2 linked regions of the Canis lupus familiaris genome follow. The protein of the gene in region 2 interacts with the protein of the main gene of each other region in a pairwise test. Links are inferred from orthologs where the notes say so. Each region holds a gene or a part of one and is shown on either strand. Other genes may lie near its edges.

Evidence for each region.
Region 1: the proteins of JUNB (region 2) and BATF3 interact in binary tests that used the Homo sapiens proteins (3 or more experiments, as listed by UniProt). The link is inferred for Canis lupus familiaris from reciprocal best matches to the Homo sapiens genes JUNB and BATF3.

The regions. Positions count from the first base shown.
Region 1 is NC_049228.1:10,701,659-10,708,219, forward strand, and holds part of BATF3 (basic leucine zipper transcriptional factor ATF-like 3), read right to left. Parts: intron 5,110-6,561; coding exon 5,005-5,109; intron 1-5,004. UniProt on the Homo sapiens protein: AP-1 family transcription factor that controls the differentiation of CD8(+) thymic conventional dendritic cells in the immune system.
Region 2 is NC_049241.1:49,755,475-49,762,136, forward strand, and holds JUNB (transcription factor jun-B), read right to left. Parts: upstream 3,772-6,662; 5' UTR 3,476-3,771; coding exon 2,432-3,475; 3' UTR 1,935-2,431; downstream 1-1,934. UniProt on the Homo sapiens protein: Transcription factor involved in regulating gene activity following the primary growth factor response. Binds to the DNA sequence 5'-TGA[GC]TCA-3'.

The sequences.
Region 1 (6,561 bases), on a different chromosome or scaffold from region 2:
ACACCTTGGGGTGCCCGGCTCGAACCTGTCTGACCCACTTCTGAGACACCTTTCAGCCTCTTGTAGAAAGCTGGACTGTTCACTCGGGTCCCTATTTGTGGATGTGGACTCAGGCGTGTGCCTAGTGTTCAGAGATGAATAGGGGCTGAAATCCCCATAAGAGGTGTAGGCGCCTTGACAGGATGATTTGAAAAGCCACAGTGAGCGCTGAGGTACACAGACGCACATTAGGAACAGCTTCTCGGCACCACGGTCGGGCTTCCAGCAATCACCTCCCCGAGGGGAAAACTCACACCGAAGAGTGGCCCCAACCTCTCGGGCACGGCCTGCCCAGTGCCGGACTGTCCCTCCCCGCCCCCCCCAACAACCGAGATGGAGAATTGGGAGGAGGGTGAGGGTGGCCCAGAAGCTTCTAGGAGCTGGGACTGGAGGAGGTTTCTCAGGGTGGGAGAGGTAGGAGAGGCTCAAGGTGAATGGACGAGGTGGGGCAGGACAGAATGGTGGGAATTCTAAACAAGCCCTAAATAGTCCCCTCTGTGGTACTCGAGAAAGACAAATAGAGACCTGGAGTTACTCTGAGATATGCAGCAACAGCTGCTCCACAGGATGGGACAGACCATGGGCTGAGTAAAGCCCTTTGCTTTTTCTCTTTTTTAAAAGATTTTATTTATTTATTCATGAGAGAGAGAGAGAGAGAGAGAGAGAGGCAGAGACATAGGCAGAGGGAGAAGCAGGCTCCACACAGGGAGTCCGACGTGGGACTCGATCCCGGGACTCCAGGATCACACCCTGGGCTGAAGGGGGCGCTAAACCGCTGAGCCACCCAGGCAGCCCTAAAGCCCTTTTCATAGGCTAATCTCCCCAGGGACTGGCAGGCAGCCATGGCTACTGGGAGGAAGCTTTCTGCACCTGTTAGTGTCTCCTAGAGAGCGGGCCTGAACCCAGCTTTGAGGAGGTATCTGAGACCTGTGTGTGGCTCTCACTTTCCCCATCCTTGATGTGGCCTGGAACCCGAGGGGGCCTGAAGGGCTTTTCTCCAAGGACCCAGAGCAGCATGCTAGGGTCACTCACTGGAGCACAGTAAAACTATTCACCACATTTTTAAACCTGACACTCCACCCTCAATACGTAGATTTTTTTTCAAAGTTTAAAAAAAATACTTTTTTTTTTAAACTATATTTACTTTTTTTCCTACGTTAACCCTGCAGAACATAGATCCCCATTACTGTGATGCCCTCCCTGGAAAGAGATGAGGAATTAACAGCAGAGCTATTGGGACGCCTGGGTGGCTCAGCAGTTGAGCATCTGCCTTCCACTCAGGGTGTGATCCCAGGATCCGGGATCGAGTCCCACATCAGGCTCCCTGCGAGGAGACTGCTTCTCCCTCTGCCTCTCTCTGTGTCTCTCATGAATAAATAAAAAAATATTTAAAACAAAACAAAATGAAACAAAAAACAGCAGAGCTATTATTCATGTGCTACCCTTGGGTCCAGAGAGGACATTCCCCTTCTACAGTAGGACTGGGCTGCATTTCCATTTTCCTGAACCAGCCACCTGCGCCCCCACACCTCCATGTGACCAATAACACTAGTATGTAGCTAGTGACCGGAAAAGTGTGGACTACAGCTTTGGGGTCTATATATGGATGGAGTCACTGTCCTGGCCTCCTTGAAGCTGTGTTTCTTCAAGATTGGCCTTGACAAAAAAAAAAAAAAAAAAAAGATTGGCCTTGACAAGGTGATCGGTCAGTGGTGGGTAAACTTGATATACTCTTCTGGCTCCATCGAGGCAGAGAAGGGAATGTTCTCCCATGGAGGGACTGGGTTTCAGATCAATTAGCCCCATTTCCCAAAAGAGCACCTGGCATAATTGGTCATGTGACACAGTGTATGGACCCCAAGAGAAGCTAGGAACCCTACAGAAGGGTCCCCTACCACAGTTCTAAGAGGAATGAGGCAGGAGTAAATGTGGTGCTACCCCTAACTTCCCCAGGCATCTGGCTCATTTGGGTATCAAATCCAACAATGACAGATACTGAGAGAAACTCATCTTTTTTTGACACTGTAGTATTTCTGCTACCTTCTTATGTAGGCAGAGTAAGGGCTTCCCAAAGATGTCTACATCCAACCTCTGGAACCTGTGAATATGCTACCTTATGTGGCAAAAACAAACAAACAAAAAAACTTGCAGATGTGATTAAGTTAAGAATCTGAACGTGGGGAGATTATCCTGGATCATGTGGATGAACCCAATGTAATCACAAGGGTCCTTACAAGTGAAAGAAGACAGCTGGGTGGTCCAGTGGTTGGGGGTCTGCTTGGGCTCAGGGCATGATCCCGGAGTCCCGGGATAGAGTCCCACATAGGGCTCCCTGTATGGAGCTTGCTTCTCCCTCTGCCTCTCTCTGTGTGTCTCTCATGAATGAATAAATAAAATCTTTTTAAAAAAAAAAGTGAAAGAAGAAGTCAAGAGTCAAAGGAGATGTGACAATGGAACAATGTCAGAGTAGTGCAGCTTGACAAAGGCTTAACTAGCCAGTGCTGGCTTTGAAGATGGAAAGGGGACCACACGCCAGGGAACACAGAAGCCTCTAGAAGCCAGAAAAGGCAAGGAAACTGATTATTCTCCGGAGCCTCTGAAAGGAATGCAGCCCTCCTGACACCCTGATTTTAGCCCCATGAGACCCATTCCAGACAACTGACTTCCAAAATTGTAAGATAATAAACCTGCATTGTTTTAAGCCACCAAATTGGTCAGAATTCATTAGAGTTCATAGGAGACCATATACTTGCCTCAAAAACTCCTATGCTTCCAATAATAGGAATGAGAGCTTACTCCCTCTCTTTGTGATCCAGCAGCAAGGCCCTGCCTACAGTGGTGCTAACAAATATTAGTGGAATGAATCTACTCGCCCTCACTCCATGGAAGGAACACGTGTGTGTTATGGATAACACATGTGTGTTATCTATGTCATTTAGCCACCACTACACACATAATCACTTCGGACTTACAACTGAGTGTCCCCTAGTGTTTTCTTATATTAATGCACCTGGCTTCGATGAGAAGCTTCCTGAGGGGAAGGGCAGACGGGGTCTGAACGCAGGGCCAAGTGCTAACTGAGCCACAAGTGCCCTCTGGGATTTTTTAGTAACATGAGGCTAAAACCCGGACTGCTTCAGGATCAAGGAGAAGGAAGAAAGGAAGCAAAGGACATTCCAACTCTTCTAGGGAAAGTTTACCGGACCAATACAGGCTGGGAAGGACCTTCTCTGGCCATCACCACAGTATTTGTGTGAATTACTGAAATTAAGTGTAGTGCATCACTTATCTCTTTTTTAGGGCCCAGTCTCCCTACTTCCAAGGAAAGAGGCTGATGTTTATGAATTATGCCCACTGTTGAATTTCTATCAGTGGATCAATGTGCATCCTAAACCAGTTCTCAGTTTATTAGGAAAGGGTTTTCAGAGATTGTTGTTCCCCCTTGTAACACCTCAGTGCCTGCTATGCTGTCAACACCCCCAGAACAAGCTGAGACAAGCTATGCCAAGACAGCAAGCAGGGAAGTGCTAAACTTAAGTCCTCAATTACTTGCACCCATCCTGTGTAAAGATGAGAGTTCAGAACTGTCGCTCATTCTTGGCACAGATCCTTGGGCGCCTCTGAGGCCAGTTCCTGATATGAAGCAGTTCCCATGTCCTGGCTTTGAGATTTTGTGGGATTATGCATAAGGGTAGAAGAAATTGGAAGAGTTTAGGATAAATCCCAGGTTCCTGATGTGGGTGATGAGAAAGGGGGCGAGCTCCATTAACTCAGTGTGAAGACAGAAGAAAGAGTCTCAGAAGAAACACATATCACCACCATGCTGCATCCAAGCAGCCTGCAGCAGACCCATTTGGCAACATCTAAGCAGACGCTGGAGATATGGGGTGAAGGCCCCGGAATGGAGGTCTTGCATGGAGTAATCAATGTGGGGAGCTAATGCTGAGAGAACAGGTTCATAGATCAAATCTTCCAGGGTGGAAAGGCTAAAGGGCAGAGTCTGAATGCCTGGTCAACACCAACATTGCAGAAAACTGACAGAGGAAGAAGGTAGCAAAAGAAACTGAGAAGTTTGGTGTGTTGGTTAAAAGGGACAAGCGAGAAATGTGGTCTTTTAGAAGCTGAAGACCTTGAAAGAACGTCTCAGGAAGGGGAGGGTCAGTGGTGTCGAATGTTTCAGCAAAGTGATGTGATGGCTGATGAGCCTAGAAAGAAGCCCCTGGACCAGACAGTGCCAGGGCACTAGCGACCTCTGCAGGAGCAGCTTCCATAGGAAGGGGGTGTGTGTGCGCACATGTGTACTCACGTATGGTCATGTACGTGTGTGTGCATGTGTGTGCCTGCACGTGTACGTGTGTGGGTGTATGTGCATGGCTGTGCACATGTGCATGTGTGGGTATGTGAGTGTACATGTGGATGTGTGCATGGCTGTGTGCCATGTGCACACACGTGTATGTGGGGGGTATGTACATGTACATGTGGGTTGCATGCATAGGTGTGTGTGTACGTGGGTGCACGTGTGTGTTCGTGGGTATGGGTGCATGCATACGTGCATGGGTGGGGAAGGGCAGCAGAGAGGCCAGCAGAGAGGACCGGGGAGTAAACGGCACTGAGGCCAGTGGAAACAGCAGGATCTCTTGAAGGAGTTGGAAAGGGAGGAAGGAAAGAAAATCAATGGGGCAGTAGCTTGAAAAAGAATTGAGATGGAGAGGAGGTTTTGTTTTATTCTGTTTTGACTTACAAAAGGAACTTGAGAGTGAGAAACAACCACTGGATGAGGGAGAAAGATGTCAGTGAGTGAAGAATCCCAACACTGGGCTGGAAGGACACAGTGAAATGAGATGTGAGTGTCCAAATTGGTGGCGACCAGGACATGACCTTGGGGCCGCCACCACAGTGCGAGAGCGGAGGATGGCTCCTCTCCGGGGGGGCCCTCATGTGGCTCTGCCCCAACCACAGGCTCACCTCGTGGAGTTTGTCAGCCTTCTGGGTCTGCTTCTTCCGACTTCTCTGAGCAGCAACTCTGTTTTTTTCTCTCCTTCGGACCTTCCGATCATCATCCTCGGGACTCTGGGGGAAACGTCTGGTTAGGTGCATTGTCTGGCCCCTTCCTTGACCCTCTTCTGCCCTCTTTCCTCAGCATCGCTTGGCTTCACTATTTTATTTGCAATCAGGGCCAGCGCTTGTTTCTTCATGGGAGGGACAGCAGTTCAGGAGCACTCCCCACGTGTTGGGCTGGCCTTACGTGTTAATACCCATGAGCACCCTCAGAAATGTGTGGTGTGACTGCCATTTAAAAGATGAGGATAAGAAACTCAGAGAGGGTAAGGAACTTGCCCAGGTATCACAGCTTGTAAGTGGGTAAATGGGAAGTGGAACTCAGGTCTGTTGGACTCCAAACCAACGTTCATAAACCTCTACCCCACAGGGTGTGTGCCTGGAAGAGGTGCGGTGTCAACGTCCATCTGAGAACAAGGAAGGCAGAAGGCATGTGCTATCTGGAACTTGCTGTGTGCCAGGACTTATGCCACCACACACAAACAGGTACTTTTGATGCCGCGTGCAAATATTACGCTTATAACTAACTGCAAACACACAACTCTACCAACACATCCAATGATCTTAAACACCACCTCATTTGAACAATGCATGATGGACATTTTGTTTCACGGGTCAGAGTGAATCAGAAAGCAAACTGATGAGGTGTCTTGAAAGCTCTCAGCTTTATATGAGATTTAACCAAGCCTAGTTGAATCTTTCAAGTGTTCTGAAACAGGCAGGCTAAAAAAAAAATGTACCTACCAAGGTAAAAACATTTCAGTCATAGAAAAACATGGAGAAGTAGAGTATTTGTTTTCCAGAATCCTGTGAGAAGGTACCAAAGGGGTGAGGAGGGGGTATCCTGTTTTAAAGAGATAGTTTAAGAGGCAAGAGGTCGGGATGCCTGGGTGACTCAGTGGTTGAACGTCTGCCTTTGGCTCAGGGTGTGATCCCGGGTCCTGAGATCGAGTCTGACATCGGGCTTCCCGCGGGGAGCCTGCTTCTCCCTCTGCCTGTATCTCTGCTTCTCTCATGAATAAATAAATAAAATCTTTAAAAATAAATAAATAAATAAATAAATACCAAGAGGTTAGTAAGATACAAATACAGGAAAGCTACTTAAGTATTAATATTAATGGAAAGCAAATATTAATAATATGAAATAATGAGTAATTTCAGTTATTTTATCTGGTCTTGTATTCTTTTTTTTAAATTTTTATTTATTTATAATAGTCACAGAGAGAGAGAGAGAGAGAGGCAGAGACAGGCAGAGGGAGAAGCAGGCTCCATGCACGGGGAGCTCGACGTGGGATTTGATCCCAGGTCTCCAAGATCGCGCCCTGGGCCAAAGGTAGGCGCCAAAGCGCTGCGCCACCCAGGGATCCCTGGTGTTGTATTCCAAATAGAAGAGGCACATATCTTCTCCCCAAGTTCTGATGGGTAAGGAATTTTCAGTATGTGGAGGAACGTAAGTCTATAGAA
Region 2 (6,662 bases):
CCACACAGTGCAGCACCCACACTTTGCCATCAGCCAGCCTGGGTTCAAAGGCCATTCAAGAGCTGTGATTTTCCGTGGGTTTCTTCAACAGTAAGATGCGAATAAAGACAACCAACTCACATCACTGTGTAATACAGTATGTGATACATACTGTGAAGCAATACAGTATGTGAAGCTTGGGGTCCAGTTAATGGTTATTAGGACAGGTCCCCGGGGCTGGAAGAAGAGGGCGGGGTGCCAGCCCTAAGACCAGAACCACGAATGGGAGCTGGAGCTACATGCACCGTCCCTGTTGCAAGCTCTGCCCCACACTAGGTTGGAAGGATGGCCCACCTGGGGTGGAAGGGTGAGGGTCACTTCTGAACCAGAGTGTGTTCCCAGGAGTGCAGTTTGATGCTGTGTATCTTCAGGCAAGTGGTTTTGCCACTGAGCCCCCATTTCCTTCCACAGGACAAACCTCATTTAATCCATAGACCCATTATTAATATTGCTATCCAGCCTAACAATCCTCCAAAATCACTCATTTGGGCCTTGGAATTTTATCTACACTCCTTCCCCAAGGCCCTCCGTGGTTTCCCTGACCTCCTCTCCGCACTCTTGGTTCACTCAAATCCAGGAACACAGTTTTTGTTTTTTTTTTTTGTTTTTGTTTTTGTTTTGTTTTGCTTTTTTGCTGTTCTTTAATAGGCTGGTCTTGTTCTGGCCACAGGAACTTTGCATGTGCTGTTTGTTCCCTCTTGCCCAGAACGTTGTTTTCTCAGAGCCTGGCTTTAAAGCTGAAAACTCGCATCATTAAAGGTCCACGTTTCCAATCCATTCTCCAAAGCCCTCCCCTGCCCCATCACTACCACTTTGACCGGTTTTGTTTTGTTTTCTCTTGCTAGCACTTACCACAATCTCCGAATCCTGTCTGCTTGTTTATTGTCTGTCTGCCACGGTCCGGGCAGTGTCTCCAGGGCTAGGTTGTTGAGCATTTCGTAAATGAATTAATGAAGCGTCTGCTCTGCCCACCCCACCCCTGCGGCTTCTCAGCCTGTGTTTTTCTCTGCCGCTCTGGGGGGCTTCAAGATCCGAAGCCAGCTAGACCCCCTCCGGGCGCACCAGCCGCCCTCCCACCCGTCCCAGCTGCGGGGGAGGGCGTCCCGCGAGAGGGCGGCGGCGCCCGGCAGCCCGAGCAGCCGCCCCGGCAGGACCAGACCTGGCAGTCGCCCTGCGCCCTGCTCCCAACCTGGCACCCGGGAGGGGAAATTGGCAGGCGGGCGCCGCCCTTCCTGGCGGGGGTGGGGGGGTACCGCGGCGGCGGCGGCGCGAAGGCTGCAGCAACCCCCCGCCCGGGTCAGGTCAGACGGAGCGCGCGTGGGCGCGGCGGGGCCCCGACGCCGACCCGATGGGGCGGGCTCGGGGCTGGCTCCGGGACCCAGGAGCTTGGCCCTCCCACCGCGGACGCTCTGGACCCAGGCCTGGGGCTTTCCGGGCCCCGGCAGCCGCCTGCCTGGGAAAATCCCGGCCCCCTTCCCGGCGCCGCAGCCCTGCCCGGCAGAGCGGGGGAGGGGATTCCCGGAATCTGCCCGGAGACCGCCGGCGCGTCACTGGACAGAATCGGCCCATGTAGGGGCAGCGCTTCCGCTGCGTCAGCGGGGAAAGCCCCAGCGCGCGCAGCTGGGCGGGGCTGCGCCCGCGCACTGCGCGTCTCGCCCCAGGCCTCCTGCCCCCTGGTGATGGGCGGCTGGACCGCGTACCCGCCCTGGCCCTTCCAACCCCGGGGAGGAGGGGGCCAGAGAAGGGTCCGCCGCCCGCACTAGGGCTGCAAGATGCTTAGGTAGAGCTGGCGAGGAGGACACGGACACTGGCGCGAGTCACAAGCAGGAGTGGGGTGGGGGCAGCCCACTATTCTCCTCCCTCCTCCCGCCCGGCTTGGAAAAAAAGACAACAAATTAATAAAGAACCATTTTTTTTTTTACTTAAATAGATTCAATAAAAAGTCGGAACAACAAACACACACACACACAAACACATCTTAAAATAAACTCTTTAGGGACCGAGTGCGTGTTTCTTATCCACAGTACGATGCAGAGGGGGGAGGGCAGGGGGCGGGGGTCCCTTCCCCAGTGTCCCCGCGGGCTTGAGTACCGGGCGGCGGGGCCAGCTCCGCCGCGATCGCCCCCTCCTCCCCTCCCTGTTAAATACACAAATATATTATATTCAATATGAATCGAGTCTGTTTCCAGCAGAAAAAAAAAAAACATACAAAAAAACGCGAAAGGGGGGCTTGTAAACGTCGAAGTGGAAGGACTGGACGCAGAGCGGGCGGGCAGGAGTCCAGTGTGGTTTGCGGTGCCCCGGGGGCCGGTGCCCACCGCCTGCCCCCTCGCCCCTTGGGAGGCGTGCGCCCAGTCGTCCAGACTGGGGGAATGTCCGTATGGGGGGGCGTTCAGAAGGCGTGTCCCTTGACCCCGAGCAGCAGCTGGCAGCCGTTGCTGACGTGGGTCATGACCTTCTGTTTGAGCTGGGCCACCTGCTCCCGGAGGAGCCCAGCAGTGCTCGACAGCCCCGCGTTCTCGGCCTTGAGTGTCTTCACCTTGTCCTCCAGGCGCGCGATGCGCTCCAGCTTCCGCTTCCGGCACTTGGTGGCCGCCAGCCGGTTCCGCAGCCTCTTGCGCTCCACTTTGATGCGCTCCTGGTCTTCCATATTGATGGGGGACACCGGTGGCGTGGCGTCGCGGCTGCGCGCCTCAGGCACGGTCTGCGGTTCCTCCTTGAAGGTGGAGGCTCCTCGGCCCAGGCCCAGTTGCGCCGGGTGGCCGCCAGCGAAGGGTGGCGCGTGTGGGAGGTAGCTGATGGTGGCCGTCGGGTACGAGCTCCCAGTCCCGACGGCGGCCCCGGCGCCTCCAGAGGGCGCAGAGGCTGGGGAATAGCTGTTGAGGTTGGTGTAGACTGGAGGTGGCTCCGGGCCGGCGTAGACGCCCCCGGGCCCAGCCGGGGGCCCCGAGCTGGCGCCCAGGGACACGTTGGGGGGCGTCACGTGGTTCATCTTGTGCAGGTCGTCCAGCGCTTTGACAAAGCCGTCTGCGAAGCCCTCCTGCTCCTCGGTGACACCGCCCCCGGCGCCCCCCGCACCTCCGCCGCTGCCTCCCCCGCGGGGGTAAAAGTACTGTCCCGGGGGCGTGGGTGTCGTCGTGATCACTCCGTTGCTGTTGGGGACGATCAGGCGCTCCAGCTCCGATGAGGCAAGCTTGAGCGACGCGCCTGTGTCCGAACCCTGGCCGGAAAAGTAGCTGCTGCCACCGCTGCCCTCTGGTCCCGGGCCCCGCGCCCCGGGGGCTTTGAGACTTCGGTAGGGGTCGGCCAGGTTGAGCGCCAGGCTGGGTTTCAGGAGTTTGTAGTCGTGTAGAGAAAGGCCGCCCGGAGCCCGGCCGTATCCCGCCGCTGCGTATGAGTCGTCGTGGTAGAAGGGCTGTTCCATTTTAGTGCACATCCGGGCGGCCCAGGCGGTCTGGGGGGGTCCCTGCGGGGCCGCCCCGGGCCTCGCTGCGGCGAGCGGCGCCCTGTCCGCGACGGTGGCTGGACTGGGTATCTGGACGCGCGTTCCCAGGAGCTGGCACCGGCCGGGAGAGGCCAGCCGGCGGCGGTGCGCGGAAGCTCCGTGCGGCTTCTCGAGCCCTTCGGCCCCTGTCCGGCGCGCTCGCTTTCCTGGTGTCGCTTCCCCCTGCTCCCCGCTCCCTGCTGACTCCGGTGCTGGCCTGGCCGCGCTCAAGGTCCCGGCAGCTCAGGCTGAGCCACACGCCTTTATACGGCTATTGTCAGCTACGGAAGTGCGCTCCGATTGGCCGTCGCGCGAGCCGGGCCCCCGCGCCCCCCTCCTCCAGCGTGGGGAAGGGGAGGAGGCGGCTCGCGTCACTGTCAGGAAGCGCGTGTCCTTGTAAACAGCGGCCACGGGCTGGGTGGCTCGGCGCGGCTGCAGGGGGAGGGGCTCAGGGGACCCCGGGGTGCGCGAAGGAAGGGGTGCTGGTCCGAGATACACGGGGAGGGACTCCAGGGAAGGCACTGATTCCCCTGGATGCGAGGAACTGTTACAAAGCAAGTGTGTGTGTGTGTGTGTGTGTGTGCGTGCGTGCGCGTGTGCGTGTTGGGGCGGAGGGCGGGGGTGGTCTCCAGGGTGTACACAAAAGGCCTGAGGGACTCGGAGTATTCGAGGGGGGTTGAAGGGCTGATTATATACACAGGGAGACCCCACAAAGGTGAGACAGGAGGATCAACCAGAGTAAATGAGAGAGGGGTAAGGTAATGTGTGGGGGTCCTGAGTACAGAGGGGTTAAAGGACTTGAATTTTAATAGAGGGACTGAACCCAGGAAAAGTGAGGGGGGGATCAAAAGGGCAAAAGGAGGGGATGGAGGATCCATTATGCAAAAAATGAGTAGGGGTCCTGAAGTCCATGGGAGAGACTGAGGGCCTCCATAAGGGGAATCTAGTTATGTAGAAAGTGAGGGCTCCGGGGTATACCGAGTCTGGGAAATTATGGGGGGGGGGACCCTGTCAGAGGTTGGGAGTCACTGGGGTCATCTGCAAAGCCCTGATGAAGGAGAGTTAAGAGTCCGGACACACTTTCAGAGCCGAGATGATAATGACACAGGGTCTCCAGCTGAGACATGAGAGGAGGGGTTTTTGAGGATCCTGGGGATTTGGACTGCTGGATCTTCCATGACTGGCCACCCCTTCTTGTGGGTGCTTTCTAGGCGCCAGTATACTTTGCTCCCATCTCCAAGCCCTCCCCCCGTGACCCGGGGCTTGACCGACACCGTGCCGACTCAGGGTGCTGAACCTACCCCGACGGCCCGGGCGCGGTCGCCCAACCCCACTCCTTCCTTAGAAACAGGCTGGGGAAAGAGCGCCGCGGCAGGAAGTGTGGCAACAGCCCCGGGGGAAGGAGCCCGGCCCTGCCTCCGTCACTCGGATCCTACGGGACCGTGCGCCCCGCCCTGGGTCCGGTTGGGTTCTGCGCCTCAGAAGAGGAACGTGGACGTGCGACCCTGGCGGAGGCCAGGGTGCGCAGAACACGCCCAGCCGCATAGGCCTCTAGTCTCCCTCTCCCAGCAATGGTTCAGCCCGCAGCACCCGCAGGCGACCGCGGAGGCAGGCGGTCCGGGGACGATTCCATTAGCCCGACGGAGGGGGACGCGCCCGGGAGCGGGCTTGGTCGCCATGGCAACAGGCCGGAGTCCGCGGGCAGAACTGGGGGCGGGGCGGCCCCGGGAGGCTCTCCCCCGCGCCCATATAAGGACACAGGAAGGGGTGGGGCCAGCGCCGTCCCGGGGCCCGGAGCCAGGACCCGGGAGCCCGGGTATCTGCCAGGTCCCAGGGCGCGCCCGGGCCCCCGGACGGCTAGTCCCGACCAGCCCCGCCGCCGCCCCCGAGGCCCCCACGGCCGCCTCGCTGGGCCCCACCCAGCTGCTCTGGGGCTGCGTCCTGCCGGGCCCGGCCCGGCCTGGCAGGTCCCCGCCTGCCCGCGGGCCTGGGTCGGACTTCGCCCCCGGCCCGATTGGGCGCGGAGGGGCGGGCCAATGCCTCGAGGCGCCCCCGGCGCCTGGGCGGGCTGGCACGACTGCCTCCTTCCTCGGGTGGGGTACCTTTCCACCAGGAGGTCTGGGCCTCTCCTCCCACATCCCGAGGGGCTAGGATGCCCCTTCCCTCCCTCACACCAGTGGGCAAAGGGCCTTATTCCCGTTTTAATCTGGGGGTCCTTCAACCATCCAGAATACCTAAAAGAGGGGTGGACAGTCTCTTCCTCTCCAGGGTATCTCCTTCATCCCGTCAGAGGAGACCAGAAAATCCAAGGGGAGAGAATCTAAGGGAACTCTGTGCCCCTTTCCCAGCACTATACTGAGGTTTAGATAGCGAGGCTCCTAGTTAGACTTAAGGCGGGACTTCCAAGCAGAATGTGAGCCACTAGAACTGGTGGAAGCTCAGTGTCTCTCTCTCTCTCTCAGAGAGAGATGCCTCTGTCTTCTGGGAGGATGAAAGTTTCTTTAGCGTAGAGAGAGGCTGAGAGACAGGGGCTAGCCTGCCTTTGTGGGACAGGCAGAGAGCACACTTAAGTGCCAGGAAGAGAAGGAAAATGAAAGAGGCAAAAAAGAAACTGAGCCATGTGGGGGCTGGGGAAGTCCAGCAGAGCAGTGAAGTTAGGGAGGAAGGTCCCATGAGAAGCTGGGGGTATCCCCATCTTTGGAGGGTCCTTGTGACCCCTGGGTGCTCCCTCCCCTCCTCCTCTTGCTTGAACTGCTCCCCTAACCCCACCCCAGGCTCAAGGGAGATTCCAGCGGCTGGCCGCTGAGTCTGGCGGGCGAGCTGCCAGGCCTGTGTCTCCCGCCCATGCTAATAACTGCAGCTGACATCTGGCCGGGCCCTGCGGGGGCGCAGCGGGCAGCGTTGGGGGGCTGGGCAGGTCTAGCCTGAGGGCAGCATCTTGGGAAGCCAACCTGCAGGTCCCACAGGCCAGGAGGGCACAGTGAATCAGCCCTGGCCAGGGCTGAGGTTAGCCAGGCCAGGGGAGCCCTGGACAGACGTGAGGCTGGCCCAGAGAGGGTCGAGATGGACGACAAAGATGGAACAAGGAAAAGTGGATGTATGGGGGCGGGGGTCAGGGCAGGGAGAGATGCCCAGAGCG